Linked DNA regions of Nothobranchius furzeri. The main gene of each other region encodes a partner of the protein of the gene in region 4 in a complex. Links are inferred from orthologs where the notes say so. Each region holds a gene or a part of one and is shown on either strand. Other genes may lie near its edges.

Region 1 (6,239 bases), on a different chromosome or scaffold from region 4:
GCATGTATTTCAGCTCAGGGGTCGACCAGGGTTTATTGTTCCAGAAACACCTCATTCTTCGTGTTCGGACGGTGTTCTCTACGCAGTGTGTCAGGCTGTCAAGGCCATCGCCATGAGCGCTGCAAAGTGTCTCCCAGTCTGTGGTGTAGAGTCCTTCAGCCTTTCTGTTGCTCCCTCAGTCCACACTCTCACGATTGTTCACTGAGGAGGTGCCCTAATTGCCCTGGGTATGTATTCAGGGATCAGATGAATGAGGTTGTGATCTGAGCAGCCGAACGGAAGGTGGAAGTGTGTGTGTTTTGTCACATTAGCGTGCAGGAGATCAATTGTCTTACTGTCTCTGGTGTGGCACTTCAAATATTTGGTAAAGGTGGGGAGAGTGGAGGAAACCGAGGTGTGATTAAAATTCCCACTGATGAGAATGAGTGCCTCTGGGTGAGCCGTCTGGAGCTTCTCCACAAAACGTTGTAACTGCTCGCATGCAGCAACTGCATCGGCCGAGGAGTGGGCGGGTGTACACATCACTGTAGAAATAGTCAGGTATTTTTGATTTATAGGGTGCTGGAGTGTGCCCTCGTTTTCTGAAAGCTGTTCTACAATTGAAGGAGTTTATTATAATGAAGTTTTTATTAAAATAATAACTACAAGCAGCTTTGCATGAAAACGAAGCTTGCTATCTCCGGGAACACAACGTCAAATATACGACGCAAAAAAGTAGAAAAATCAACTTTTGCAAAGACTTTTTAGTCAGAAATGTAGCCTCTTTATCAGTATCACCTTTAATGACATATTAGTAATAAAAAAGGGATAAGGCCACATGTTTATCACTGATTGTTTATATACATGCGGTCACGTGGCAGTCTACTTAGAAATGGCTAATTCTCCTCCAGGTTTCCATAGTAACAAGCATACCACAGAATCCCAGACCAGATCAGTTTATGATGCATAGGTACTTTATCTCAAACTATTAAATATCTCACAAGAAAAATCCAGAAATCACCTTGAAGAAACCACGTGTTGACATAGTGAACATTATAAATTTATTTTAGAGTGATTTAGATAACGAGCGTGAAGGCACCTTTTTTGCAGAGTGTAAAACACTTTTCCTCCAAAGCGATAATGCTGAATTAAGTTCACTTTGACATCACATGGTCCCCAAAACTTTGGCTTCCTTGAATGTGCCCTACAGCCAAACTCCTTCAGAAGGTGAATCGTTTCTTCTCCTAACACAGACCAAAGAGGATCACACCTCTGCCTCCGAAACTGGGAGCCCTGCTTAATCAGTGGAGCGCGTGGCTCCGAGACGCCATACTGCTGCTCGCAGGCCTGTCTCTTCACCTAACTCAAATGAACAAAAGCAGAGGTCTGCTCAGTCGTCTACTTTCTCAGCCACGTTCTTGCTCTCAGTATCTGGTTTTCTGTCGGCAGAGTTGGATTCTCTTCTGTCTGCTCCTGGTGTGGCACGGTGGCGGCTCCGGGCCCCTGGCTGGTAAAGCTGAATGGCGGGTCGGTCCTGTTGCAAATAATATAAATAAAATATTACAAAAGGAAAACAAACTCAGAAATTATTTGGCACAAGTGTGAGAAATAACTGGAGTCCGTACCTTATTCCGCAGTCGCTCCCTTTTGCTGCTCTCATCCTTTTTGTTCTCTTTGGCAGCCTTCTCCGTTTTCTCACCGCGAGGGGAATCTGCCATGTTTTCATTCCTCTTCTTCTCCAACGCCTTTTCTTTTTTAATCTCCTCTTCCCGCTTCCTGAACGTGTTCTCTCCATCATGCTGCTCCCTCCTCCTCCGTCTTTCCTCGTCCTGCCGTCTGAAGCGCTCCTTTTCCCTCTGCCGCCGCTCCTCCCGCTCTCTGTCTCGATCAAAGTCCCGCTCCCTGAATTCCTTTCTCCCACTTTCATCTCTTCTAAAAGGAAATCACAGCTGGAGTTAAATCAGTTAAATGTACAAACAAAAGTGCAAAATGCCAGGAAAAAAAGAACAAGAACTGACTTTCTTTCACGATCCTCCTTGTTCTCGATGTTATGTCTCCTCTTCAGATCACTGAATGACCGGACCTCTTTATGTGGCTTCTCTGGTTTCTTGGACTTCTCTTTAGGCTTTTCAGACTCTGCTTCATCATTTCTATCTGGTTTCTTCAGGAGCTGAATATAAAGACACAATCATCATGAGAAACTTGAAATTGACAGATGCATTTTTTTTTTTCACTGCACGAACCTTAATTTTTGGTTCTTCCTTAACGTGGTCCTTGTCTTTCTCCGGCAGTTTCTCAAGTCTTTTCATCTTCTCAGCCTCTTTCCGTTTTCTCCTCTCCTCCTCCCTCCACTTGCGACGCTCTTCGTCACGCAGGCGCTTGCGTTCAAGCTCCCTCCTTCGTCTCTCCTCTCTCTTTTCCTCCCTGATTCTCTGAAAGTTAAAATAGAAAGTTTGATGGATTCTTGCTAACATGCAGTTGAACCAATTTATCCTAAACACCAAAAAACGATTACCACATGCTTACCTGTTTATTCTTCAGGTAGTCCAACAAGGGCGTGGTCTTTTTAGCTAAAAGAAAGGGGAAGAAACCCACAATAAGAAATCTTGTCAAATGCAATGCTCCTGTTTACATACAAGCAGTTATAACAGTCCCATTTTTGGTTCTTTTTTAAACACAGATAAGGTTTTTCTTTACCTTGCTGACGTTTCGTTTACGGCTGCAAACATCTTCAGAGCTGACGCTGATGGTGGCGTCACTTCCTACACATCCACATCAGCGGCAGCTCTGAAGATGTTTGCAGCCGTAAACGAAACGTCAGCAAGGTAAAGAAAAACCTTATCTGTGTTTAAAAAAAGAACCAAAAATGGAATTTGAAGACAAACACAGCAAGTGATAACGGTGCTGTCATAAACAAACCTTCAAGTTCTTTTGATCTGGCCTCGATCTCCTCCAACAAGGTCTCAGGCGTAGATGTCAGCTTCTCTTCGTCTCCGTTGTAATATTCAAGAAATTTTTTATAATCAGGATCTGATAAAAACACAAACATGCTGAGCTATAGATTTTTATAGATAGATCTCAAAATAGATATGTTAGGGACGAACATGGAGTTTCTTCAAGCTTATTTCTTTTTATAACAGAGAAGATCAAAACCACCAGACAGTTTAAACCCTTGCCTTCAGTAATTGTTCCACACTTCGAGTCCTTCTTCTTACTTCTTTTCTTGGCTATCTTTTGAAACGGCGCAAACTCCACAATGGCTGGATACTCCTGTCCTGTTGAATGGCCAAACATAAACAAGGACAGTCTCAGGTCAACGCTCTGGAACACTTCACAGAAAACTGGGTGTGTGTTCTTGATACCTCTGTTGTCTATGAACACATATCCATCGAATCGATCTCTGAAGAGAACAATATCATCTTCATTTTTGAAACTGATGTAAGCCCTCGCGAAGAGATGGGGATACAGGCTAAAATGACCGGAAGTGCCATGTTAGACCAACACAATGAAGGAAATGCTAACAGTCATTTTACAGGTGAACTCACCTGGTGTCGTTTGAGAAAAACTCCATGTAGTCCACCTCTGGGAGAGGCTGCAGCTGCTCCTCTAACTCCTCTTTAGACAGACTTGGTGGTAATCGTCTGATTACAATCTACGAACACATTGTAAAAAGTTCACTACCTTAATTACTAAGCAGGGCTTTGTAAAATGAAATTTTGGTCCAGTCTTTAAATGTATAATTTCAATCGTAGAACATTTTATCTGAAAACAAAAACAAAACAAAAAAGTTAAACCATGCTTTTATTTAATAGAACTACACGAATCCAAAACTGACGTCTGTAGCAACATTAGCTGCTTTAGCTAGCAAGTTTTACCTTTGTCATGGCCTCTTTCTTTTCTTTTGACTTCTCAGTCTTTTCTCCATCTTCACACTTTAGCTCCACTTTTTTCTCCTTCGGTCGAGTGTTTTCTTTGTCTTCTTTCATAGCTGAACGTCTACAGAGATCCACAGCCTGCTCTCATCTCACTCAACAGACTTGTTTACTTTTCAGAGAGTTAGCCAGCTAGCAGCTAGATACTAACCGCTCGAAACTTCCTTTCTGACTACTGAAGCTGCATTTACAAGTTTTTACCAGGAGGTGGCGCTAAATACAAAGCAATTACACATTTAAAAAAAAATGTTTTTGGTAATTACTATTTTCGGTAATTACTGGTAATTATATTTTTGTTAATGTCCATTCTAAAATATTTTTCTATAGTAAATTTTTTTGTAGAGCTAGGGTTAAGTCTGATGTAAAGTTAAGATTGAGATATGTCTACTGTCCACTTAGTGACACTAGACATCTTTTTATTGGAAACATTGCATTGTTTCCCTATTTGTGTTTCAAATTTTCCTTGTTCGTTACTTTTATGTATTTGATTAATGTATTTTGTGATACGTTTATCCCACGACCCTGCATGGACTAACAGGTATAGAGAGTGGATGGATGATACTTTTATTTTATTTATCTTTTAATAGTATTACCAAATTGTATCTTTATCTGTTTATAAAGTTACTCTATCTATCTATCTATCTATCTATCTATCTATCTATCTATCTATCTATCTATCTATCTATCTATCTATCTATCTATCTATCTATCTATCTATCTATCTATCCATCCATCCATCCATCCATCCATCCATCCATCCATCCATCCATCCATCCATCCATCCATCCATCCATCCATCCATCCATCCATCCATCCATCCATCCATCCATCCATCCATCCATCCATCCATCCATCCATCCATCATCTAGTAAAGTAAGTAAGTAAATTTATTTATATAGCACTCATCAAAGACAGAAAACCACAGTGCTTCACATAGATCAAAACAAAACAAATCATAAAGTCATAAAATCATAATGATCTTAAAAAAAGATTAAAACAGAAAAGTTAAGTCATTAAATGATAAAATACCATAAAACAGATGAAAGATGATTTCTAATTTTGAGTTAAAAATAAGAAAATAAAAGATTTAGGTAAAAGTAGCTTTAAATAAAAGGGTCTTTAGCTGTTTTTTTAAAAGTGTCTAAACTGTCAATGCTACATAAAGATAAAGGAAGATCATTCCAGAGTCGGGGTGCAACAGTCTGGAAGGAGCTATCCCCTCGACTTTTATATCTGGTCTTTGGAACATCTGGAACGTTCTGGTGAGTGGACCTGAGGGCTCGGATTGGAGCATAAGGCTTTAACAGTTCAGTAATATAGGGCGGAGCTTGACCATGTAGAGCATTGAAAGTTGTCGTCGTCGTCTTCCTCCGCTTATCCGGGTCCGGGTCGCGGGGGCAGCATCCCAACTAGGGAGCTCCAGGCCGTCCTCTCCCCGGCCTTGTCCACCAGCTCCTCCGGCAGGACCCCAAGGCGTTCCCGGACCAGATTGGAGATGTAACCTCTCCAACGTGTCCTGGGTCGACTCGGGGGCCTTCTACCGGCAGGACATGCCCGAAACACCTCCCCGGGGAGGCGTCCAGGAGGCATCCTGACCAGATGCCCAAACCACCTCAACTGGCTCCTTTCGATCCGGAGGAGCAGCGGTTCTACTCCGAGTCCCTCCCGAATGTCCGAGCTCCTCACCCTATCTCTAAGGCTGAGCCCGGCCACCCTACGGAGGAAACTCATTTCGGCCGCTTGTATCCGCAATCTCGTTCTTTCGGTCATTACCCAAAGCTCATGACCATAGGTGAGGATTGGGACGTAGATCGACCGGTAAATCGAGAGCCTGGCTTTCTGGCTCAGCTCCCTCTTCCCCACGACAGATCGGCTCAGCGTCCGCATCACTGCAGACGCCGAACCAATCCGCCTGTCGATCTCCCGATCCCTCCTACCCTCACTCGTGAACAAGACCCCGAGATACTTAAACTCCTCCACTTGAGGTAGGACCTCTCCCCCGACCCGGAGGTGGCAAGCCACCCTTTTCCGGTCGAGAACCATGGTCTCAGATTTGGAGGTGCTGATCCTCATCCCAGCCGCTTCACATTCGGCTGCGAATCTACCCAGCAAGAGCTGAAGGTCAGAGCTGGATGAAGCTAGGAGGACCACATCATCCGCAAAAAGCAGAGACGAGATTCTCCTGCCACCAAACTCGACACACTCCACACCTCGGCTGCGTCTAGAAATTCTGTCCATAAAAGTGATGAACAGAACCGGTGACAAAGGGCAGCCCTGGCGGAGTCCAACCCTCACTGGGAACAGGTCCGACTTACTACCGGCTATGCG
Region 2 (6,092 bases), on a different chromosome or scaffold from region 4:
CACGAGGCATTTCACAAAAACTTGAAAGTATGAAAATATTTTTTAAAACGATTAATGCTTAAAAAATGTCATTAAAAATAAAGAAAAGGGAAAAAAATGAATAGGAAAAAGGAAAATCAATAGATTCTAGGCTTAAAGTCACACTATACTCAACCAGTTAATCCACAGCACCCGCAAACCGTTCCCAAGCCTTTAGATGGCATCTGATTCTTACTTTTTATGAAATAAATGGACTTTTGCACCACATTCTAATCTCACCTGTATATGTATTCACTTAGGAAAAATGGAAGCTCCCCTCAATACTTACGCTACCGGAAGTTGTTGCAATTCACGCGGGTAAAAACACTTTCCCCTTAAATGTAACTTTCACATTAAATAATCACATTTGATTTTCTCTGCTGCAGCCTCATGTCAATACCCTAAAACGTTACAACACACCACACAAGGAGTTGGACAAATGGCGACATCTAGTGGATTTTCAAGGTCGTAAAACAAAATGCTCACTAGATCCACTGGACCAACAACTATCATAACATCACTTGCACAGACATTTCAAAAAGTTTAATTCCAATAGATGTTATACCAAGACAATTAAAAATAAAATAACAATTTTTTGGCAGTAATGAGAATGCCCTTGATAAACCAGACAAAACAAAAACACAAACATTTGAGAAATACAAGTATCGGTCGATACCCACTGCAGGCTTTTATTACAAGTTTCATTTACTACAGGGCAGAGGGAAACTGGCAAAACCCAGTTCAACCTACAGTCAAAAACCATTTTCATCGAGAAAAAAAAAAAAAAAAAAAAAAAAAAAAACAGGTAAAAAACACTTTGGAGTACTTAAAATAAGGTCTGAACAACATCAAATCACACCAGAAGACGACCAAGTGTAAAATATTCTGCACGTGTGTAACAACCACGCTGCTCTGCACAGAAAGGAAGGGGTGAGGAGTAGGAAGCACTTTGTCTCTTAGCTGGTGTCCATCTAGGAAAACAAAGAAAAAGTCAATTAGACTGCCATTTAGTGACATTAACCAACAAGAGAGCCTGTGTTGTCAGATCAACGCACCCTGGCATTGTAGGCATCTAACTGGGCATCGAGTTCCTCTGCTGACAGCTGCTGCTTTGCTCCACCACCAGCTCCACGGCCGCCTCGCCCTCTTCCTCGAAAACCGCCAGCACCACGGCCCCCACGACCTCTCTGCATGCCCCCAAACCCTCGCACAACCACGTTCGTACGGCCACCCCCTCTGCCCAGCCTGAGACAGTAAAAATAATTTAACACCACAACCCAATCTTTAATGCTTTAATCAGATAAACATTTAACTTACCCCTGCATCGGCCGTCTCTGTGTGTCAATCTGTGACGTGACAAGTTGTATGTTCATAGGTCGCCCTGAGGAGAGGAAGTGATCCACTATAAATCAGCTCAAAGGGGGTTGAACACTCAAGAAAGTTTGAATTATTTAGTCATGTCAAACCAGAAAAATGTAAACAAGGTCTGAAGCGTACCATCCAGTGGGATGCCGTTGTACTGTTTCATGGCCTTTAGAGCGTCAGCTCTCCTTTCAAAGTGGACATCTGCTGTTCCTAAGCTTCTTCCCGACCGGTCGTAATGAACTGCAGCTTTCTTCAGAGTTCCGAATTCCGCAAAAAGTTCCTTGAAAAAGTACATCCAAGATTAGTCTAAGACAGCAACAAGCCATAAAACACAACCAACCAGTGAAGCGCGGATTTTGGAGTACCTGAATGTCTGCATCGGAAACACCGAAGTCGAGATTGGAGACGAGGAGCTTCCCTCCAGTTTCCACACCAGCTCCCCCGCCACCCCCAGCAGCACCATTGAAGCCACTGAAGCCGTTGTCGAACATGTCGTGCTGCCACTTGTCTGGGAGCTGTTTAGGCTGCAACAGATGAAAGAGAACGCACCTGCTGACTTCAGGATCCCCTTGCCTCTGCCCATCACTGAGTCCACACGGCTGGCTGTTGGGGCAAGCAGGGGGCTCCACTTCCAACATGGTGCTCAGCTCCCTTTAGAGGGGGGGGGGTCCCCAGTATTCCCTGCCCACCCCGTCACAACGAGCAAGTGCATCAGCTCAAAGGGACGTGCACACAAATACTCAAAAGCAAGGGGATTTGTAGTAGTCTCGCTTCGATTCAAATTTTGAACTTTTTTAAACGTTAACACACCAATGTTGGGCCATCTTAAATCGGAATGTGTACAAACATCACAATAAAGTCCATACTGATTTAAGTTAGTAAAAACATGCTCAAACTAGGGATGCAACGATACCACTTTTTTCCAAACCGATCTTAGTACTCGCCGATACCAATACAGATACTTCTACCACACAAAAAAAAAAAAAATGCAATGATTTGGAATGCAGATTTTACTTTCTTCTCTGCTTTCAACAGGAAAAGACTGTGAGGTAGATAAAAAGTAAAATATATGAATGGAAATCATCACAAAACTAAAATATTAGGTGAACAGAAATGACAAGTTACAGTGAAGCCATTTTCAAGCAACTGCATTGGTATCGGTTCCTGGTATTGGTTAACTTTCACCGATACTGGTATTGGTATCGGTGCCGATACCAGTATCGTATCGGTGCATCCCTAGTTCAAACTCACTGGTTCCCAAAGTTAGGACAGGACACCAATGTTGAGATTATCAAATTTAAAAATAATTGACATATATGAAGAGAAAACATCTAAACAGACCAACTGACAAGCGTTTAGTCTTGGTGAAAGTGGATGGAGTCATCTTCCTGTCCTAATGTAATTGTCTTATTGGCTATTTGTACGTGTCCGTCATGAATAATGAAGGTTTTTAATCACAGATCTTGTAAATCAGAAGTTAAAAGATCTGGGAGCCACTTGTTTCAATCACTCTAATCAACTGTCTAAAGAAAAATGGTCCCATTAAAGCCCACTTAAAATAAAAATGTATTCTTTAGATCCAAGTTTGATGTAGTAAATGGATTAAAAACAAAACCATAAAAACAAAACTCAACAGTCCTGTTCTGGGTTTCTAGTGAAATAAACCCTAGAATAGACTAACGAGCCTTTCCAGAAACCTAAGTATTACCATCACAGATATTTCTTAAACCCAAACCCACAGACTTGATGCTAAACCTGTAAAACTCCTCAGACTAGCTACCAGAGATGCCCATTGTTCTCGCCATCTGCGCCTCCCTCCAGAAAAGCCAGCTCCTCGGGACACTCGGGGACTCCTGTTCGATGCAGCGGCGTCTCCAGCGCTGGTACTTTGTGTCCTGGACCTCAGAACAGTTCTCAGTAGGGGAAGAGTCCGTGTGCTGGATGAGGAGTGAAAATGGCCAGATCTCCCCTCTGCGTGAGCGTCCATTTTGAAACCACGCCATTTTGACTGGGGCTTTGTTTGGCTTCGCTACCAACTCGATCACACTTTAAAAGACGAAGAACCGGTTTTGTTTGGGCACTAACAGAGGAGTAAAAGTCCGCTTTTCCATCCACAAGTAACAGGCAAACTGGTAGAAAAAGCCACCAGAGGGCTTGAGAACCCACTCCCCGAACAAAAGGCCGCCTGGTCGCTGCGCTGGCGGGAACTTGAGCACATATCCCGCTCCGACAAGCAGTGAAAACACACTTTCGAGTGATACTCTTGACGAAGTGGGTTTCTTTCACCACCGTGGCCAGGATACCTCTCACTGAGCACTCACTGACGACTAGCTTCACAATGCGGGGCTGGATTCAAAATGGCGCTGAGGGCCTCCACTCCTTCCGTAGGCTGTTGAAGCTCGACGTGCGTTACACATTTGGGTTGCGGGAGAAGGGACACAATATGAAAACATTTCTCTGCTTATTCCTCTAACATTCTCATACCCTGCTGTAAGGCGTAGGTCTGCCTCTAGCGCGACTCAGGTTCTGTCGATTCCTCATGGGGCCGGATCCACCGCCTCGGCCTCCAAAGCCTCCGCCGCCGCCTCCGAGTCGCCCAGCGCCTCCACCCCGGCCGCTGCCTGTGCCTCCGCGGCCACGGCCTCTTCCTCCCCGGCCTCCACCTCTCTGCTGCCTGCTCTGTTTGATAATGTCGTCTAAAGACATATCCATCTTATCGGTCATTTTGCTGCCCCAATAACGCTAAACTTTGAACAAATTAAGAATGTTACACCCTAGACACGGTCGGTCCCTCTCCCTGTCCCTTTCAAGGCTCAACGGTGTCTGATTCTTGTAGCAGCTGCTAAACACAAGTAGTAGAACACGACGTTCTCTACGTAAGCCTGACGTGAGTACGTGAACGTGATCCCCTCTACTGTCGACGATGAGGCGGAACCGGGCGGAGCATGTATCTAAAAGAAACCTTGACAGGAAAATGTGCGAATTGTGCAAAAGTTCTACACAGATGTGGTAAAATACAGAACAAATAAATAAATATTTTTTTGACAAATATGACATATAACATTTGATCGAAACTAAAACTGTAAACTGAAGAAATAACCGGGAAAAACTAAACCACATCAATCATCAATTCTTAAAAGAAACTTTCACAAAGTCAAGGATTTTAAAATAATATAGTTAAGTGTTTAAAGAGCAAGACACTCCCAGATCAACTTTTTTCTGATAAACTATATAAATGCGTATCTAACCGTGCTGCAGACACGTGTAGTTTTGCACTTTTGTGCATTTAAGTTAAAATTTAAATTTTCTGCCTAAAACTGTGAGTGTTGTGCCGTTGTCAGGTAAAAACTCTGCACTGCATTTGAATTTAAATCTGCCATCGTTATTGGCAAAGGGGTACCCTAGAACGTTAGCTGGTAGCATATGATGTCACAATGTCGTTGTGTGTGTGTGTATTTGTTAGCGGGCCCGCCCTCTTGGTCTGCTAGGCAACAGAATTTGTTGCATTTTTCAAACAGGAAGTGGGAGCGGAGTAATACTCTGGTAGGGGGTGACTTGCTCTTTAAGCAGTTACACAGAACTGGTGATGGCTACTGACCCCTTAGATTTCTAAACTTTTGCTTTTTTTTTTTTTTTTTTTTGCACAACTAACCAGTTTTGGGTTGCTTTTAGCAGCCCCTAGTGTTCTGTTAGTAAAACCAAAAGTGAAACTGTGCATTCACCTTTTTAAACACCTTAATCCATAATAATGTCTCCCCATCCTTCCTTAATTTCTACAGGAGCAGCTCATCACTAAATTGACCAAACCAGCAGTGTTTATGATCTAAAACATGCAGGAAGCAGACTGCAGCACCAGGCATGTCAGCTCCACAAGTCCAACTCTGAAGTTGCAAGTGCGACATTCTGGCCATAGAGGGTGGTCGGGGTCTGAGTGACATTTCATTAACCCTGTACAGGGTTGTTTTAGCACACACTGGCTCAAGAAAATTTTAAAATATGAAAATTTTGCAAAACACTTCAGATAAACAATTATTTGATCTTTCAAGGGAAAAAGCAGCCAAAACCTGGCACTGCATGCCTATTTGTAATAACTGCAATCAACCATTTGCTTTTGAGATCATTGAGCCTACTTGACATTGTCAGACATGTCTTACTTTTACAGGTCCGGCTAGAAACATTCAACCTAGCTTTCCAAATAACATAGTTTATCAGTTAGTGTGATTTAAAAGGGAGAGGACAGAACCTTCTCCACGTATTTTGGATAGCCCCCTCTAATAATTGAAATAAATAAAAAATAAAATGCCTTTAGAATTTACTCAGTATCAATAAAACATGTTAGCTGAAGTCTGACCCCTCCACCCCAAAAAACCCCAAAACAACAAAAATCATGAATCTGAATCCACAGAAGCAAACGTACTGTAAAAGTCTTTTATTCAATATTTTGTGTAAAGGCTTAGAGGAGAAGGGTCAACCAAGGACTGCATCCTTGCATTCTAGATAATAAAGTCCACAACGGGCAACAAATTGTTTAATAAAAATGTTGGCCTTCTATTTAGTATTTTGGCTTTCAAAAGCTTCCCATAAAGCGTGTCCGATGTTCAGTTACTTCTAGCGTTTATCGATTTATCGATCTACTTTCTGAACCCAAAACACAAGTCAGCTCTTTTACAATTGCCTCCAAAAGTTATTTAAGCAGCAGGTACTACTAT
Region 3 (5,165 bases), on a different chromosome or scaffold from region 4:
GAGCCAATGGATGAGGAGGAAGGAAGACGCCTCCTTAATCACTGGCAAACAGTGGCAACCACGCATCAGGTGTCAGTTCCAGAAGGTAATGGGCGGGGCCAGACAGTTATGCTCCACCTACAAAAGCTAATTCTTACAGCCGTCATGTGGTTCCAGAAATGACCGGCCCTATCCAGGAAATGACCCGGAACAACCAGCACAGGGAGCCCCTCCCCTTCATCCTCATCTCCCGCCATGAGAAGGTAAAAGCCTCAGCGAGAGCGTTTACTAACGCAAAGTAATTTTCAGCCCTATAAAAGACTGCATACGCCCAGCTACGCACACTTTTTGCTTATTAAATTACGTTTCATAGAAAGTGATTTATGCAACTCTGAGACGGTTGTGCGTAAACAAGCTTTATAAACGAGGCCTCTGCGCTAGCGCTTATCCAGCTGAGTTCTGTAATGTGTGTCCTCGGAGTTCAGATGGGGGAGGTTCAATACGAGGAGCGGCTCTACCCAGCCGGATCGTGGGCTTGTGTGATCCGAGGAGAAAATCTGTATGAGCAGAGCATCTCCATGGCTTTCATGAAGCTGATGCGCTTCATCTGCAAAGAAAACTCTTCAGGTGAGACTGCAGCTGCTCCCAACAAACATGGCCGAATTAGCACCAGGTGACATCATAGCATCATGACTCCAGAACTTCTTATTGGTCATTGGCAGGCAGATACCTGGACATGACTGTACCTGTGGTCAGCAGCGTGCAGGTGATGGACGACGAGACGTTTCAGAGAGACGTGGAGATGGCGTTCTTCCTTCCAGCTGAGTTTCAGAGCAATCCCCCTCAGTCCTCCGACCCGGACGTCCGTGTGGTCTACAGGGAGCCGTTCAGGGTGGTTGCAAGGTGAGGACTTTGTCTGAAACTAGACTGGTTGTTATTCTCCAGGTTTTTTAGATCAAGCTTATTCACGCTACCTGCTGCAGGACATTCTTCGGGATGACCACAGAGGAGACGGTGAACCGTCAGATCCGCCTGCTGTGGGACCTCCTGGACCACAGGGACCACTTACATCATGACCGCTACATGGTGGCGTCATACAACCATCCAGGAGCACCGCGGCGCCGCAACGAGATCTGGTTCATCAGGAGAGACCTGTAGGCTCCTCCCACAACACAGCACGTCCCCTCCCTAATAGGGTGCCCTTGTTGGATCGACCAGATGAAGCATGCTTGTGTCTGTAAATAGATTCCAGGGTTTCCCCCGGCGCTTTATAAGCCTGGCTCATGCCCCGCCCACCTCCCCGACCCTACCGTGTCCGCTGACACGAACGGCGCAACGAAACTAGAGCCCTCCATCAGCTGATTCTGGTGAGAAACAGCAGCGGAACGTGTGCAGACCCCCCCCCCCCCCCCCCCCCCCCCACGGAGGAGCGCCACAGGACGGAGCGCACGACCCCCCCCCACCCCCGGCTAATCCGCCAGGCTTAACATTTTCTGGGGGAAACCCTGGATTCTGACCCTCCCATTGGTTCACTGTACAGGAAGGAAGGATGCCCCTTCTGATTGGCTGCTGCCTGCAACTGTTCCAGGATCAGCAACCTTAGTGTGACGTCATAGTTTTGGAAATAACTTAAGTACGGTGAAGTACACCTTCTTAAGAAACTGTACAGTCACGTGTTCTGTAGCAGTCGTTGTGCCCTGCATGCCCAGGCGACGGGAGGCGGAGCCTGTCCTTCCCTCCGTCAGTGATCATAAACTGTTTTCAAACTGATTTTCTACATTCATTTTCACGTAGGATCATTTTTCTTCCAAATGAAAAATAAAAAGCTGAAACCTGTCTGAACACGGTCTTCCTCGTCTCCACTTCATATTTAAACGGTTTCCGTGGAAACGGTGAAATAACATGAAAGGAAAAACTGACTTTAAAGACTTTATTTACAAAATACCGTCAAGTCACCAGAAACGGGTAAAACACAAACAATTTAAAATAAAAAGGTCAGGAGGCCGGGCTCCACGGTGATGTCATCGAAGTTAGATCAGGTCAGCAACTGCAGAGAAAGACAGACATGAATGCAGCAACCAGACCGCCACCAGTGTTGCTATGGTAACAGTAACTCATACCATTCATCGGCATCTCATCAATCTGGGTGGAGTAGTACTGCTCGATGTCTCGAAGGATCCTGATGTCATCGTTCTTCACAAAGTTGATGGCCACACCCTTTCTGCCATAACGACCCGACCGACCAATCCTGGGCGAGATCAGAATGACTTAAAGTGGCAGGGTAGTTTCCTGCCGCTAGGGGGCAGTATAAACATACATTTCAGGGTAGTTGTGACTCGCTGGTTTAAAAACACATTACGATAAACTGCCGGTGGAGCAGAAAACATGCAAGCTTGGCATGACTCCTCAGACCTTGATGGTGCGTCAGGTAATTCCATCTAGTGAACGCTGAGAAGTTTTCTGGTGCTTTACTTCTGCATGTTCAGGGTCCTGCTCCTGCCGACGGCATACTACTACGGCAATACCTCTCGGCCCAAAAATATTGCATCTCTTTTTCGATTCTGTTCTTTCACACATTTTAGAAATAATTCATCGTTTGTTTTTTTATTATGTTTGTGTTTCTTACTGCTTACATGTTTTTGAACGTGGTAACGGATTTTCCGTAAGCCTTATGTTCAGCCAATCATCTAGTGTGATGTCATCGACAGACGCAGGACCCGGAGCCAGCAGAAGTAAACATGGCACCGCCCAAAGGTGCTAGACCTGTGCCCTGTGTACTTTAGACCCAATTGCTATGGTTATATCAGGGTATCTGCAGGTTTAAGAGAGCCAAATTTAAGCTATTTTTTAAAATTAAATTTAAGCTATAATTTCCAGCTATTGCCTGGAACCGGTGCGAACCACGTTGCGAACGTGGGATTAGCCATCCAGTTACCATAAAAGTTGCACGTCCCCATGGTGCAATCTCCCACTAGCTTAAACAGCTAATGTGCTCATCTAAAAAAGCCCCCTTTCACAACCAACTGAATGTGTATGGTTCCGCTTACGCCAACATCGTACACAAAAAATGCTGAACACTAACTAGAAATTCATGAAAATTGAAATAAAATAATCTTGTTTATTGGGTCTTTGGTAATTTAAGACCTTTGGAAACTGTATTTAAGGATTATTAGTAATTTTTAAGGATTTTTAAGGCCTTAAATTTGGAAAAGCAAATTTAAGACTTTTTAAGGACCCGCGGATACCCTGTTATATGGTACAAAGACACCAATATTATCAATCATTTTATGCATTTTTATGGGGTGACGGTGTCACAGGACTCAAGTGCTCGCCCCGTAATCAGAAGGCTGCAGGTTCAAGCCCCACTCAGGCCCTGTCCACACGTAGCCAGGGATCTGCCAAAACGTAGATATTTATCTACGTTTTGGCCTGTCGTCCACACGAAAACGGAGTTTTTTCACACGAAAACGGATCTTTTTTAAAACTCCGGCCAAAGTGAAGATCTGCGTTTTCTCCGTTTTGGGTGTCTGCGTGTGGACAGACAAAACCGGAGTTTTAAGGTCCGCAACGTCACTTTCTGCGACAAAAAAATGCTGACATCACGTGTGCGACCTGTGTTTACACTAGCCGACAGCATGGATGCCTTCAGAGCTGCGCTCTGTCACTACCCGATCCATCAATTGTCCAAGCGCTTTCTGCTTGTTTGTTTTGCAAGAGGAATTACTGCTCCTTGCGGAAGACCACAGACGAAGGACGAGGTTAAGAACGGGGGAAGTACTGCCGCCTACAGGTCTGGCATGTCCTTAACAACGTATTTATCCGGGTACGTGTGGACAGGGTCTGTTTTTTAAACGAGGTGGTGTGGATGCAAGTTTTTGGAGGGGCGGATATTCGTTTTTAAAACAACCCGGCTACGTGTGGACTAGGCCTCAGTCTGTCGCTGTGTCCTTGGGCAAGACACCTGACCCACCTTGCCTGCTGGTGGTGATCAGAGGAACCGGTGGCGACGGTGTACGTCAGAGTCGCCTCTGTCATTGTGCCCCAGGGCAGCTGTGGCTACAACGAAGCTCATCACCAGGGTGTGAATGGGTGAATGACTGATTGTGTTGTAAAGCCCCTTGGGGGGGCGCTATATCTACTTTTACCCCATTACAAATTGTCTCTTCAAATTCACGATGCAAATGCTGACACACACAACCGGATTAGCCTCCGCCACGCAGCCGGGCTGCTGCTGGGACCATTAGTGGGTGGCGTCACCAGTGTGAGCAACGCTCAGTGAGTCACCGTGGGTGAAGCCTGTAGATCATCTAGGCTTCTAATCTTTGTTTTCTCCAGGGCATTTAAAACCATCCATGCTAAGTTATCATGTCAGAAGACACAGGTGGACACCTGGATTACTGACACCCTGACTGACGCACCTCAGAGTGTGAGACTGAACGTTACAGTAACAGCGGACTGCCTTCGTGTATTCACCTGTACTTTTGCTATCATTTACTTCTTCTTCCTTTTCTCCAAGTGAATTCTCCCACTGTGGGATTAATTAGGTCGATTCTATTCTATGTCCTGGTCCTGTCATTCAGAGTGTCTCAGACATGGACAAGAGACAGAGGACAGAGACGATGTGGGTGAATCTGTGGAAGGGTGAGGCATCTGATCTTAGATGTTAACAGAACAAAGATGATTGTGGATCTTAGGAGAAGAAGGAACACGCAAGACTCGCTCCATCTGACACAGCACCAAGACCGCCCCTTTAACGGTTTTGCGTTACAGTCTTTCAGCTAGATGTGTGCGATGCCGTCGTCGTACTTTTACTAGAACGTCAGCTTTTGACACAGTCCCAACATATTTTTGGACCGGTAACAACTAACCCTAACCCGGCCCTTCAATGGCTGCAGTCCTACTTTGACGTTAAGTGGTGTCTGGATAGGGAAGACCACCTCTGCCTGGGAGAGACTCTGATGATGGGTTCCACAGGGCTCCATGCTGGGCCCCCTCTTTTTGCAGTCTATTTGCTGCCAGTGAGGGGCTCCCTGTCAGCATAATGCGATGGTTCCAGATCTACCCACCTCTCTGTCTGGGGACAGGTGGCTCCGTCTCTCCACTCTAGACTCTTAGGAGGAAGTTAAGTTATGGATGGCCTACAGTTATTTGCATTTGAATATGAACAGAACGGAGGTAATGATTCT
Region 4 (6,204 bases):
AATTTCAACTGTTAACTTTATTTTTTCTCTAAGTATTTTTCTCCCCAGAAGAAGCTACAATGATGTTCTGCTGAGCTGTGGTGGCCTCATGGAGGGGGCCATCGTCTTGAACACTGTTGCTAACCACTTAATCATTATCTCTCCTGATAACACTTTACTTCCCTTGACATTGAATGTGCTACTACTAGTTTATCCGTGTAATTATAGATTCACTAGGATAAATACAATAAAGCTTATCTCTCACCAAATAGAGTATTTACTAAGAAATCACAATGCAGCCATAGAAACACTACTTGGTGTGTGTGTGTGTGTGCCTGCTCTGTCTTCTCGATCCCCAGTGAGTCATGGCGGATGGCTGCTTATACTGAGCCAGGATCCTCTGGAGGTTTCTTCCTGTTAAAAGGGAGTTTTCCTCTTCACTGTCACTGCATGCTTGCTTAGTATGAGGATTGCTGTAAAGTCACTGACACTAGTCAGTGACTCGATCCAATTTGCTTGGTTCCTTATATAGGAAACTGTTTTCTGACTGGCTTAATGAACTGACCTGTATTGGAATGTTTATTATGTGAAGTGCCTTGAGACGACTCTTGTCGTGATTTGGCGCTATATAAAAAAAACTTGAATTGAATTGCTGCTGTACACAGACACACACACACACACACACACACACACACACGCACGCACGCACACACACACCTCTGCTGACAAGACTAAATAATTATTAGGTTGTAGATCTTCTCCACAACAGATGTTTATATGTTTCCATTTATTTTTATATTACAGATGTTTGCACTGTATAGCCCTTGTCAGTCTTTGCAGTAGTTTTTACATCAAATTAGGTCTGTATTGGGTAGGACTACACAATTTTGGTTATAAACTATAAGTAGGTGTGTTGGCTCTTTTACCTGAGGGATCGGGGATTGTGTGTGTGTGTGATTATCTTGTTTCTGTCTTTTTTCATTTATTTCTCTTTTCCTGATTGCGCCCTGTGCAATTTTATGACTGAATAAATAACAACTAAAATCTATGTTAATGATAGTCATGAATAATCTATTTCATTTTCAGTCAAAATAATCATGATAATTATTTTTGCCATAATTGTGCAGCCCTCAACTACACACCAGTTTTTATTTTTATTAATAGCCAAAGTTAAGTTACACTGAAAATAATTAAACTACCTTTTTTAGACAATCAGCTGAATTGTGAAAACTGTTATTCTGTGGTCTGTGAGAGATGATGTGCTCACAAACATAAAAAATAAACCACAAAAACATGAGATCCCTTTGCTGTTGGTGGAAATCTCACATGTTCAACTAATAGGAATGGTTCAGTAGCGTTTTGTTGCTGAGGGACAGAAGGATGTGGGTGACAGTGGGGTGTCACAGGGCAGAGCTGAGGAATGAACAGTGAGACAGAATTCATGGGAAAACTTTAGATATTGGAGCGATCTCAGTTTGTTACTTCTCTGTAGTTTAGTGGGTTTTTTATGTATAAGGAGGGTGAGAGGGACGTATGTCCAGCAGACAGATCAGCTGTTTAGCTGGAAGATTAAAGGAGACCCAGAGCTGGAGTGTGAGGACAAAGCGATGATTTCAAAAATGAGCCTTCCTCTTTGAGGAAGATTAGATGGGCCATGAGCTGACTAAAAACAAGTCTTAATGGTGGTGCTATTTAGAACTGCAGCTATCGAATATTTTTGTAACAGAGTACTCTATCGAATCTTTTATTGATTAATCGAGTACTCTAATTAATTACTCTTTTGCGTTTTTAAAGCATTACATCAAATAGCATGTTATAAAATATGAAAGACCTCTTGAAATGAGAAAGCAATTGCCAGTTATTCTTCAAGTTTTATTCAAAATTAGTTTTCAAAACTTCAGCACTTCAACTTTACTTCACAGTAAACAAATGCGAGCGGCTGCGACCCAAACAGCACCAGAACCGCTCACGGTGCATGCGCAAACATGTCTCGCCAGCTTTTTCCCTATTAACACACGTTCGTTTTAATTTCTACACTTTTTTTTGTCTCACACTAACAAGGATTGTCGAAAGCATGTTTGCCGTGGTTATGTCAAATTATACTGATCAGAAAACATTTATTTACTTTCTTTCGTTTTCCTCCGCCACTCATAAATACCTGTCCTCCTGCAGCAATCCTGAGGGACAACGGACATCAATAACAACACAGTAAAAAGTCCAAGGTGTTGTAAAAACTGCTATTTTTAGCACATTTTAAGTCCGACGTGTTGCTACCAGACGTACGGTGTGAGCTGAAACTGAGTGCTACAAATGAAAAAGTCCCACAGTGTCCGCAGAATATATAGAAATACAGGCTAAAATGCATTATCTTGTAGAGGCTCCGAGTCCGCTTGCAGAAGTGACATTTACATGTGGATGTTTCCTGGTCAGGTGCTGCAGCATGGAGGATGTGGTGTTGTGGTAGGCTAAATCCATTTTACAGTATTTACACTGGAGTACGTTTTCCGCCTTACGACGTGAAAATGGTCCCACACTTTTGACATTTTGTGTCTTTTTCACACTCCACCGGGGTCCACATTGTCCGCCATGGCTTAAAAGAAAGTTAAGTTGCGTTCGCTACTCGCGTGTGCATTCAGTGCAGTGTGTATGTGCGTCACTTATTTCGGTCCGGGTGAAACATGACCACGGGCGATTGCAAAGCCATGAATTAATTAAACATGAATTAAACGAAGCTTCGAGGCAGAGAATTTGACTCGAGGATTTTTTGTACTCGAATTATTCGAGGTACTCGAGGAATCGTTTCAGCCCTACTGCTATTTATTTATTTTTACTCTTTTCAGCTTTGTTTTGATTAGCTGTCTGTTTACTGAGTATGCCTTCAGGGGATGCGCTCAAGACGTAGTGTGTCCTGCTGGTGCATGACGTTTAGCAGTCTGGCTCACCGAAACCTTTCACAGTACAGTGTGTCATCCCACTGGAGTTCTCTCAGTGTGACATGAGCAATCCTGTGTGATGACCGAAAAACGCTGTGTGATCCCGGCTAAAAGGACATGGCTGAAAACTGTTAGCTCACCTAAACCAAAGCCTCGTCCTTTTCTCTTCTTGGCCTTCTCTTTCAGCTTGTGGATGCTGTCTGCAGACAGAAACATAAAATTAAAGCCTGAAGATGATGCTGTGCGATGAAGGCAAATTCAATGATGATGATACAAACTCAATGTAGTTTCAATTTTAAGACATTTTAAGAAATAACTTCACAACTCTTTAATATGCCGTTTGTGCATTTGTTTTTAACATCGTCTTTATTCAGTCGTGTAAAATATGTTACTTATTGATTAAAAAACACGTTCCTAATTAACATTGAAGCTTAATAATGGGAGAAAACAAATCGAGTTTCAAAAAGTCTGAACTTTTTATGGTTCAAGCTACTTACTATAGGAACCTTAAGTGTGTGTTTGTTATCCGTTAGCTGCTAGCCAACTCCGTTCGTTGGTTTACTCTCTACATTAGCAGCAAAACACCCACACATGAACATTTAAACACTAAAACCGAACTTAGACGTGGTTTCCATATACTTTGAACCAACTAGCCACGCTGCTAACTCGCGCAGAGCGAATGAATCAACAGCTAGCTTACTTTATCTCGTTAGCTTGGGCCTGCTAACACGTAGCAAGGCGGTTGTTAATCTGGTGGTAACAGAAACATCAACGCGACATTATTTATACACCTGGATTAAGCAGCGCCTACTGCTTAACGCATAAGTAATAATATTACCATCACCATCCTCATCCATAGGAAAGTCTTCGCCTCCCGCCTCATGAAGGTCCAGTACGTCCGCCATGATTCCTCTGAGTGTGAGAAGATCTTCCTGGCTGCGGCTTGAAGCATGGGGCGGAACGTGGGCACAGGGCACATCCACACCATGAAACTTCCGTACCTGAAGGGGGCGCTATTTCCTATTGTTAGTGTGACTGTAGAAAAAGGTTTTCATCAATAAACAAACAACTTAGTAGATGTGGCTCGTGTATAAAACCATCCACACCTACAACCGCGCCCTAGCGTGTCGGGGACGCGCGCTGGAGCGCTTTAAATTGTCATGTTTCTGGTGTTAAAAAATGAACATAACTGAAAGATCTTTTAAAACAAACGGGATAGTAAAAACAATGCTGTTTTTCCAGATAAGCTGGACAAAATACATTACTGGTGATGAAGTCCAAAGATGAAATTACGGTAATACAAAAATACTAATGCATCAGCTGTAAAAGCATCCTAGATGATTTTATCTATTTTTAATGTAATCAACGGGACGTCGTTACGTGCATTAGCGCAACCTACTGATCTGTGGACCATCGAGACAAAAGGACAAATCATCGCGAATGAGTTCGCATTTGGAAAAAATAAATAAATGACACGCACTTTTATAGCGCCTTTTATTTTGATTTGCAAAAGAAAAAAAATAGACCAAAATAAGATAAAACAGACAAAAATCAGAATCATAAGGTTTTATTTCCATTTGTGCAAGAAACCACAACATTAGGAAATCGCTGCGGTACTTGGTGCAAAAAGAAAGATAAAAATAAGAAATTAGCAAATATAGGAAGTAAAAATATATCATGATAAAATAATTATTTAAGTGACAATAATTAGAGAAATGCTACTATACAAGGCAGTGTAGTTACTGATCAGTTCAGGTAGCAACAAATACAATACAGGGTCATGTGACTGGAACCAAGCAACTGGAGTGGGACCTAGGATTGTCATTCATGAGTCCAACAACAGAGGGTAAGAACTTGTTCTTGTGGCGAGAGGTTCTGGTCTGAATGGATCTGAACCTCCTGCCAGATGGGTGCGAGTTAAAAAGACTGTGTCCACTGTGACACAGGTCAGCTGTTTTCCAACAGCACGCCTCAATGTCCTGGAGGAGTACAGGTCCTGTATGAAGGGGAGTTTGCAGCCAATGACCTCCTCAGCATAGAGTGCAACATGCCACAGCTTCTTCTTGTCCCTGGTGGTGGCTCCTGTGTACCACACAGTGACAGAAGAGGTGAGGATGGACTTGATGACTGCGGTGTAGAACTACCTCACATCGACTGTGTTGGCAGGTTGAATTTCTTCAGCTGCATCAGGAAGTTTATCCTCTGCTGGGCCTTTTTTATGATGGAGGTGATGGTGGGCTCCCACTTGAGGTCTTGGGTGATGATGGAGCCCAGGAAGCGACATGAGTCCACCAACTTGGGGAGTGTCAGACAGGGTTATGGGGGGAAGTGGGGCTGTGTGCTTCCTAAAGTCCAAAACAACCTCCGCTGTCTTCTGGGTGTTTAGCATCAGGTTGTTGTGGCTGCACCAGGACACCAGCCTTGAAGCCGGGAAGTGTGGTATTTAATTATTTTGGGTTTATCACCCCAACATCACCCCAAGACATATATATATATTTATTTGTTTGTTCGTTAGTTTATTGTTTGTTTATGCGACTTGAAAGGCAGCGTGCACACCACAAATATTACATCAAAACAAACGGCTCAGCCGTGAAAAGTGTGGTTTATCAAGATTTTGGGGTGATCACCCCAATGTCACCCAATATTTATTTATTTATTTGTTTATTTATTTATTGTTGATATTTATATTTCCTTCAGTGTATTCTCTGACTGCAGCAGTAACATGTAAACTTCTGCAGTTTGTGTGTGTGTGTGTGTGTGTGTGTGTGTGTGTGTGTGTGTGTGTGTGTGTGTGTGTGTGTGTGTGTGTGTGTGTGTGTGTGTGTGTGTGAACAATATGAAGCCATTGCCCAATGATCAGTTAGCTAATATATTTATATTTTATAAATAAACGAGTTATTTTAATATGAATTTTATTTAATAAAGAAAACTCTTAAGATGAACCTCTGTTACAAGAGTGCAGATCAAAACATCACCTAGGTACAAGACACAAGAACATGGATGTCACTGTCTCACTGAAACTACTGAAACTATCAACAATACAAAGTCACTGTGTGAGACGAGTTTCTTCAGATTCAGGAGCAGCTTTTACTATCAGCATTGTGTGAGAGCATTAGTTGAATCATTGTGTGGAAACATGTTTGTCTTTAGTGTCTGGACTGGGCTTTCTCAGACAACTTCCTTCTCTGTGCTCAGAAAAATTCTCTCATAAAAGACAACAATGTCGCCCTCTAGTGGTCAGAGCCGTAAACTTGCATTTCAGAGACGACAGTACACAAGTTCAGACACCTTT
Region 5 (6,182 bases), on a different chromosome or scaffold from region 4:
CTCTCTCTCTCTATATATATATATATATATATATATGTATGTATAGGGGAGCTGAAACAACTAATCTATAATCAATTATTGGAAAAGTTGACAACTTATTTAGTCTTCGACTAGTTGTTTTATAATCACGTTTTATTGTAAGTCTTCTATTTTTAAGACAAGCTGTTAAATTTGCAGCCAGTGTGTGGCAGTAATGAGTCACTGATCTAACAGTGGAGCAGCAGAAGAAGCATCAGCCAATAGGCACCCTTGATTTTCATGACGTACCACACACATGGCTGACGCGCATGCTCACACTGAGGAATATGAAACGGTACAGGAGAAAAACAGAAACCATAAAAGTGAAGAAAAAACCAGAACAAAAACATCTAAAGTATGGGAACACTTTACTCTAGATGCCGTGAAAAGACGGGTGACCTGCAAGATATGCAAAAACGATCTAGCATGGCACGGAAATACAATTTCTCTAAATGAACATCTGAGACCAAAACATTTCGGAGTTGATGCAGCAGAAGAGCCAGCCCGGTAAGAAACTTACACCTAATGAGAGAATATACATGCAGTGGTTCCTCACTATAACGCAGATCACTGTTTGTGACTTTGCCGTTTCACTGAGCTTGTTATAGTACAATTTTACACCAGGGTTTCCCCCAGCGCTTTGCTTGGCGGGCCGCCAGACTAAGCATCATGCTCCACCCCCCTCCCTGACTGTGTCCACTGACACGAATGGCGCAATGAAACTAGAGCCCTCCATCAGCTGATACTGGTGAGAAACAGCAGCGGAACATGTGCAACCACCCCACCCCTGCTCTCACGGAGGAGCACTAATAAAACCACTTTGACTGTATTCATTTTTTTAGTTAGCCGTTGTCTCCTGGTAACACTTAGCGTAATGCCGTCTAAAGTGGATTTTCTGAGTCCTGCTAGATGGACACAGTATCAGACAGATTCCTGTATCGGGCCATCTATAATTCTGTAGATTCCAGTTCTTTAGAGAAAAGATGGAATTGGCCAAGTTTAACTCATTCACTGCCATTTGCATTTTTTTACTGTGTGGGCATAGGAACGAGTCCCCACACCGCGAGAACAAACATCTCAGCTCTAAAGCCAATCTTCATCTGCATACGGCACACATCAAGTGACCAGGAAGCAGAAAATCCATGTGTTAGGAGGTCCTTTTGGGCCACTGCTGTAAAACAAATAAATAAATAAATAAAAAATAAAAAAAGTGTGGCGCGAACCAGAAAAGCTTCTGCAGATCACAATTCAATAACGGATTATGAAAGAACAGATAAAGCTCGAAACGCACGGATTCTTCCTGCTGTAAGAGGTATCATCATCCTAGTGCGCAATGCTCTGTGACTCTTAAAAAAACAGTAAAAATGGCACACAAAAAAAAAACCGCTGGCAGGGAAGGGCTTTATCGGTCAGGAAACAGCTGGCAGCGAATGAGTTAATATCAGCTGCTCAAAGCTGTACAAATATCAGAAATATGTATAATTACACAAAATTTACATAGGTCCATTTTTTTATTTATTGTGCAGAAATTTATCAGAATTTAACCAAATGATAACCACCTCTTAAAACTTCCCATTATGTCAAATGAAGCTCAGACTAGCTCTGGAACAGAGCAGCTGAGCCAAATGAACATGGACAAAAAGACAACAAAGAGCTAAAAAGCTGTTTATGCATCAGAACCTGCTGACCAGATCCATCTGGATTTCCTGAGTCTCACCTGTCCATCACCACTCTGCCTCTCTCCTGTGAGGTTTTCCTTGTCCTCCCCCTTGGGCTCCTCCTTACTGTGTCCTTCTGCTTCCTCCTCAGCCTTCTCTTCCTCTTCCACCTCCTCCGGTTTTGGGTCGACAGCAACTGAAGGTTTGGGCTCACTGGTTGCTGCTGGAGCTTCCTCTTCACTGTAACCCTCCTCTTCCTCCTCTACCCCCTGGAAAAAGAATTTTTCAGAAACATCTCTTCTTCAGTTTGGTCTTTGAATTGGCATCCTTAGGTTGTTGTGCCAGATCTTTGACCAATCTGAACGTCTTTTCAATCCTACAGTCAAAAACAGACTCAGTTCTTGTCTGAGGGAAGGAAACTGGGAGTTGTGTTAGGCTGGATTTACCTCTGAATGGGAGCGGTTTTCCTCCGGATCAGCACTGTCATAATCTGAGAGGACAGCTGAACAAAACAGAGCCAGAGTCATAAAATCAGGAATCACCAACAACAAATCTAACGTGGAGCTGGATAACCAGGAGAGGCTCTTACCTTCTCCGGCTCCATCTTCACTCTCCTGCAATGACAAACAGGATCAAAATGACAACGTGAAGAATCTGGCTGCCTTTAGGTGTCAGGATAGACTCTTTCCTGGTGAAGGGGATGCTAGGTTCCTCATAATTTTACAGTGACATATGTGATGTCTGACTTGTAATCATTTTAATTATGAATTTTAACAAGCTAATAAATCTTAAATTACCTGACAGTTGAAAGAAACTCAAATCATTTTTAATTAACTCCAAGTACAACATACAAGTTATTCAGGGCTTACTGCAAAGCAGATTAGAACATAGCTTTTAAAGCCCCGTTCACTTGCATTCTTTTTTTATTTGTTCCAGGGACCCATGGACCAAACGAACAAGTAGGAGACTTTGGCTCCTTATTACTGTTGGCTCAAATACAAACACAGATGACAATAATGGAAAATATTTTTTAATCAGGACACTAGTTCATTTAACAAAGAGCGAGAAGTGTTCTCGTTAGCACGTTTTACTTGATGGTAAAAATCTTCTTTAGTTGAGACCTGGGTATCAAAACATGTTTATCCCCAATACATTTTGAAGTGATAATGTCCTCACGAACAATTATTTAGAAATCAACCCCTAAATAATTCATTTGACACATTTTATCTTAATGTAACCAAGTGTAATGCAGATGAACAAGTAAGGCCTGTAGCTAAAGGGTGGTACCCCAATGACATAAAATGTAGTGGACACTGAGGCCTTGAGACATGTCAAGCCCTCAGTCCCCTGATGGGTGAGGGTCAATGACTGCCTGGGTGAAGCTACTCAGTCATGGGAATCCAGCCTCGCGCATCTTCTGAATCAGAGTATTCTGATTTGTGATTACGAGATTTTATCTATGTCGTAACGCCCCTTAGTGCAACTGGGGCTAATCTGTGATTAATCAGAACTAACAGGGTCTTTAGATGTAATGGAACCACCACGGGTCTGAAGTCCAGCGTGGAGCCGCAGACTCAGGCGAATATCAGGGTGACTTTTAGCTCTTGGTTCGGCAGAAGAATCCACTTGGACCTCAGGTAACCATCCTCTATTCTCCAGTAACGGTTCTGAGAGACTGTTGGGACTGAGCCGGTGTTATGTCACATTTTGTTCCCGAGTAAATGTGGTTCAACTGCCACCTTTTCGTCTCAGATCATCGAACTACGAATGAACGACAAAACCCATCTCCTTACTGATGAACTAGTTAATCACCCACAGTCACGTCGAACCTAATGGTACCTCTAGAGAGCCTTAAGGTTTTTCTGGAAGCGGAATAAGTCAGAACTTTTAGCCCGAATTCCAAGCTTTGTGATGGACGGACCAACGTTAGCTGCTGGAGTTAGCCTGAGTAGCTACTCACACACTCGGACTCCACGTCGCTCTTCGCCTCGGTCCGGCTCTCTGTCACCTCCACTGGTTCGGGATCTCGACCTCGAGCCTTTGTCACGGGAGAACCCGACCTTCCGCTGTCCGAACCAGAACCGGACTCGTCGTCCTCGCTGTCCTGAGACGCGCGCCTCCTCCTTCGCCGCCGGTCCGCCATCTTAGGACTGGAATGGTTAGTAACGGAAAAAGCAACGCATTATGGGTAATGGTGTTCTTTTGGAGAGCAAATTCTCCCAGCTCTTTGATGTCTACTGCCGCCCTCTGGAAATGATTAGTACAACAACGATGTAATAACTATTTTAATTTGAACGTGTACGTGAATAAACTAAAGCAATTTTTACACATATTAGCCGTTACAAAAAAGTATGAATAATCTGGAACACCTGCACGTTAAATCAACAATGTAACCTACAAAAAACTGCTGGGAATCAAATTGTTGCCCTCATTTTCTAAGAAGATGCCAACTAGAGAACGTCCAAAGATCGGAAGTAAGTTGAAAAACTGAAATAGTGGCGTGTGTGTGTGTGTGTGTGTGTGGGGGGGGGGGGGGGGGGGGGGTCGTCTTTATGGTAAGTATGCTAAAAATATGTATAAAACTACAGGCTAGAAGGGGCTCTTTTATGCAATGTCAGGAATGCAGAACTGTCAATTAACATGTGCTCTGAAGTCACGTGGCTCTGATGCTCATTAATTATTCAGAATTTTAAGCATTAAATTACACTTTAAACAGAAGAGTGACAAAAAATCACCCCCTCAGAGTTGTCATGAATGTAAACTAGATCTATTAAACCTAAAGTGATTTTTTTAACCAGGCTGTAAACATGTTTTTTTTTTCTGCTGTGAAAATGGCATTTTTAACATGGGAGTCAATGAGGATTTGCTCACTTCTGGTAGAAGCCCCTTGGCCTGGCCTGCCAGACTCTTCCTCTGTTTAATTATGCACAGAGAGAGGGTGAAGAAAAGGCCAGGGGTCTCATTTATCAAACGTTGCGTAGAATCCTTACTAAAACCGTAAGCTCAGCAAAAAAAAAATGTACTTACGCCAAGTAGGTTTATGATCTATCAAACATGGAGTACGCACAGCTACACGCAATCTCCGCTTCATAAATTGGAGAATAATGAGAATGTTTCTCAGCTGCATTTTAGTCACATCCCGCCCTCACCACGCCCACTTACTGCCATAAATAGTCAATGCAAAGTGCCTTGTGAATCTTATGCATATACATAAGCCAGCTGTTGCAGCATTTCGATCACGACTGCAGATCAAGGAAGCGCTCTTTCACAAGCAGAAATTCAGGTACCTGTGGGTGAGGTGGAGAAATGAAAGGAAGTGCTTTTGTAAAACAAGAGAAAATTCACTCAGTGGCACAGCGTTGCTGAAGCCGTCAATGCTGAGTTCTTCAGAGAGATCTGTGGCGGATATTAAAAAAATGATCCGATCAGGATTCAATCCCCAGACTCCCGGATGAAAGTCATGCGTGCTAACCAGTCAGCCAAACAGAGATCTTCCTTGTACAAGTAGCCAGGGCGCATGATCAATCGGGTCACAGTGACAGGACACTTACATTGTCACTTACGCATGACATTCTGTATCAATCTGTCACCTTGCTAATTTTCTGCATTCCGTATTTTGCGCATCAGACTGTGTGTGTGCGCGCCAGGTGCACGCGCATGTGTGTGGGAGGTCTTGTTCCGTGTGAAAACGAAGCAGTACAAGGGATAATGCTCCAAGGCAGCTGTGGCTACATTGTAGCTCATCCCCACCAGCATGTAAATGTGTGTGTAAATGTGTGTGTGAATGAGTGTGTGAATTGGGGCATGACTGATTATGTTGTGAAGCGCCTTGGAGGGTTGTTGAACCGAGGCATTATACAAAAACAGGCCATTTGGGCAATATGCTTCACCTACCTTGCCTCCTGGATAGTCTGAGGGACCGTAGGCACCTATCAGGTCGTAACCTCAATTCTTTCAGCGAACCCCAGAATAGCTGTGGCTATTTATCTCAATCTGTGTGAATGTGTATGCGTGTGCTTTGGCGTCCTCTGGCTTAGATAGGTGCTATGCAAGAGCAGGCCATTTACCATATGTTTCACGGGTCAAAGAAGAGTCAGACCCCAGAAAATCCAGCTGACCTTGACCCATTTCATCGTCAATTGATCTCATTGTGGTTGACTCATTTCAGATTCAGACTTTTAAAACTAAACATGATTTATTTTATTGTTTTGCACAGACTCTCATCTCTCAAAACAGAAATCAAACATCACTAAATTAAACATTGCTAAATAACCAATCAGTTGGTTGGCTTTATCTGACTCCAGCAGAATAAATAAACAGAACTTCAACAGTTTGGTTCTGACAAAACTTGTAATGAATACATCTCATCATCAAACAGGTTTAAAAAGTAAAACTTTATGAGTTCATCATCATTAAAGTGGCATCTCTCAGTCAGCATTCATAACATAAATCATCCCTCTGAAATTTACTGAGAAATTCTCTTCAAGATGCTGAATGTAAGAATTA

What was found.
Region 1: rbm8a (region 4) and upf3b share a complex: the UniProt entries of both Homo sapiens proteins name them as parts of the mRNA splicing-dependent exon junction complex. The link is inferred for Nothobranchius furzeri from reciprocal best matches to the Homo sapiens genes RBM8A and UPF3B.
Region 2: rbm8a (region 4) and alyref share a complex: the UniProt entries of both Homo sapiens proteins name them as parts of the ALYREF/THOC4-EJC-RNA complex. The link is inferred for Nothobranchius furzeri from reciprocal best matches to the Homo sapiens genes RBM8A and ALYREF.
Region 3: rbm8a (region 4) and eif4a3 share a complex: the UniProt entries of both Homo sapiens proteins name them as parts of the ALYREF/THOC4-EJC-RNA complex. The link is inferred for Nothobranchius furzeri from reciprocal best matches to the Homo sapiens genes RBM8A and EIF4A3.
Region 5: rbm8a (region 4) and casc3 share a complex: the UniProt entries of both Homo sapiens proteins name them as parts of the mRNA splicing-dependent exon junction complex. The link is inferred for Nothobranchius furzeri from reciprocal best matches to the Homo sapiens genes RBM8A and CASC3.

The regions. Positions count from the first base shown.
Region 1 is NC_091741.1:85,712,946-85,719,184, reverse strand, and holds upf3b (regulator of nonsense transcripts 3B), read right to left. Parts: upstream 4,092-6,239; 5' UTR 3,966-4,091; coding exon 3,855-3,965; intron 3,632-3,854; coding exon 3,525-3,631; intron 3,449-3,524; coding exon 3,342-3,448; intron 3,255-3,341; coding exon 3,156-3,254; intron 3,010-3,155; coding exon 2,899-3,009; intron 2,550-2,898; coding exon 2,506-2,549; intron 2,412-2,505; coding exon 2,223-2,411; intron 2,150-2,222; coding exon 1,998-2,149; intron 1,912-1,997; coding exon 1,605-1,911; intron 1,514-1,604; coding exon 1,370-1,513; 3' UTR 938-1,369; downstream 1-937. UniProt on the Homo sapiens protein: Involved in nonsense-mediated decay (NMD) of mRNAs containing premature stop codons by associating with the nuclear exon junction complex (EJC) and serving as link between the EJC core and NMD machinery.
Region 2 is NC_091752.1:50,607,036-50,613,127, reverse strand, and holds alyref (THO complex subunit 4), read right to left. Parts: upstream 4,235-6,092; 5' UTR 4,108-4,234; coding exon 3,868-4,107; intron 3,604-3,867; exon of another isoform or gene 3,371-3,603; coding exon of another isoform or gene 3,164-3,370; intron 1,908-3,163; coding exon 1,749-1,907; intron 1,664-1,748; coding exon 1,516-1,663; intron 1,400-1,515; coding exon 1,336-1,399; intron 1,264-1,335; coding exon 1,074-1,263; intron 990-1,073; coding exon 975-989; 3' UTR 790-974; downstream 1-789. UniProt on the Homo sapiens protein: Functions as an mRNA export adapter; component of the transcription/export (TREX) complex which is thought to couple mRNA transcription, processing and nuclear export, and specifically associates with spliced mRNA and not with unspliced pre-mRNA.
Region 3 is NC_091746.1:29,287,650-29,292,814, forward strand, and holds the end of eif4a3 (eukaryotic initiation factor 4A-III), read right to left. Parts: intron 2,228-5,165; coding exon 2,100-2,227; intron 2,027-2,099; coding exon 2,010-2,026; 3' UTR 1,896-2,009; downstream 1-1,895. Other genes in the region: heme-binding protein soul4, read left to right, coding at 1-85, 157-242, 465-606, 702-882, 963-1,137. UniProt on the Homo sapiens protein: ATP-dependent RNA helicase. Involved in pre-mRNA splicing as component of the spliceosome. Core component of the splicing-dependent multiprotein exon junction complex (EJC) deposited at splice junctions on mRNAs.
Region 4 is NC_091745.1:61,863,542-61,869,745, forward strand, and holds the start of rbm8a (RNA-binding protein 8A), read right to left. Parts: upstream 3,910-6,204; 5' UTR 3,818-3,909; coding exon 3,751-3,817; intron 3,113-3,750; coding exon 3,053-3,112; intron 1-3,052.
Region 5 is NC_091746.1:33,208,420-33,214,601, forward strand, and holds the start of casc3 (protein CASC3), read right to left. Parts: upstream 3,863-6,182; 5' UTR 3,820-3,862; coding exon 3,637-3,819; intron 2,291-3,636; coding exon 2,266-2,290; intron 2,179-2,265; coding exon 2,123-2,178; intron 1,946-2,122; coding exon 1,736-1,945; intron 1-1,735. UniProt on the Homo sapiens protein: Required for pre-mRNA splicing as component of the spliceosome. Core component of the splicing-dependent multiprotein exon junction complex (EJC) deposited at splice junctions on mRNAs.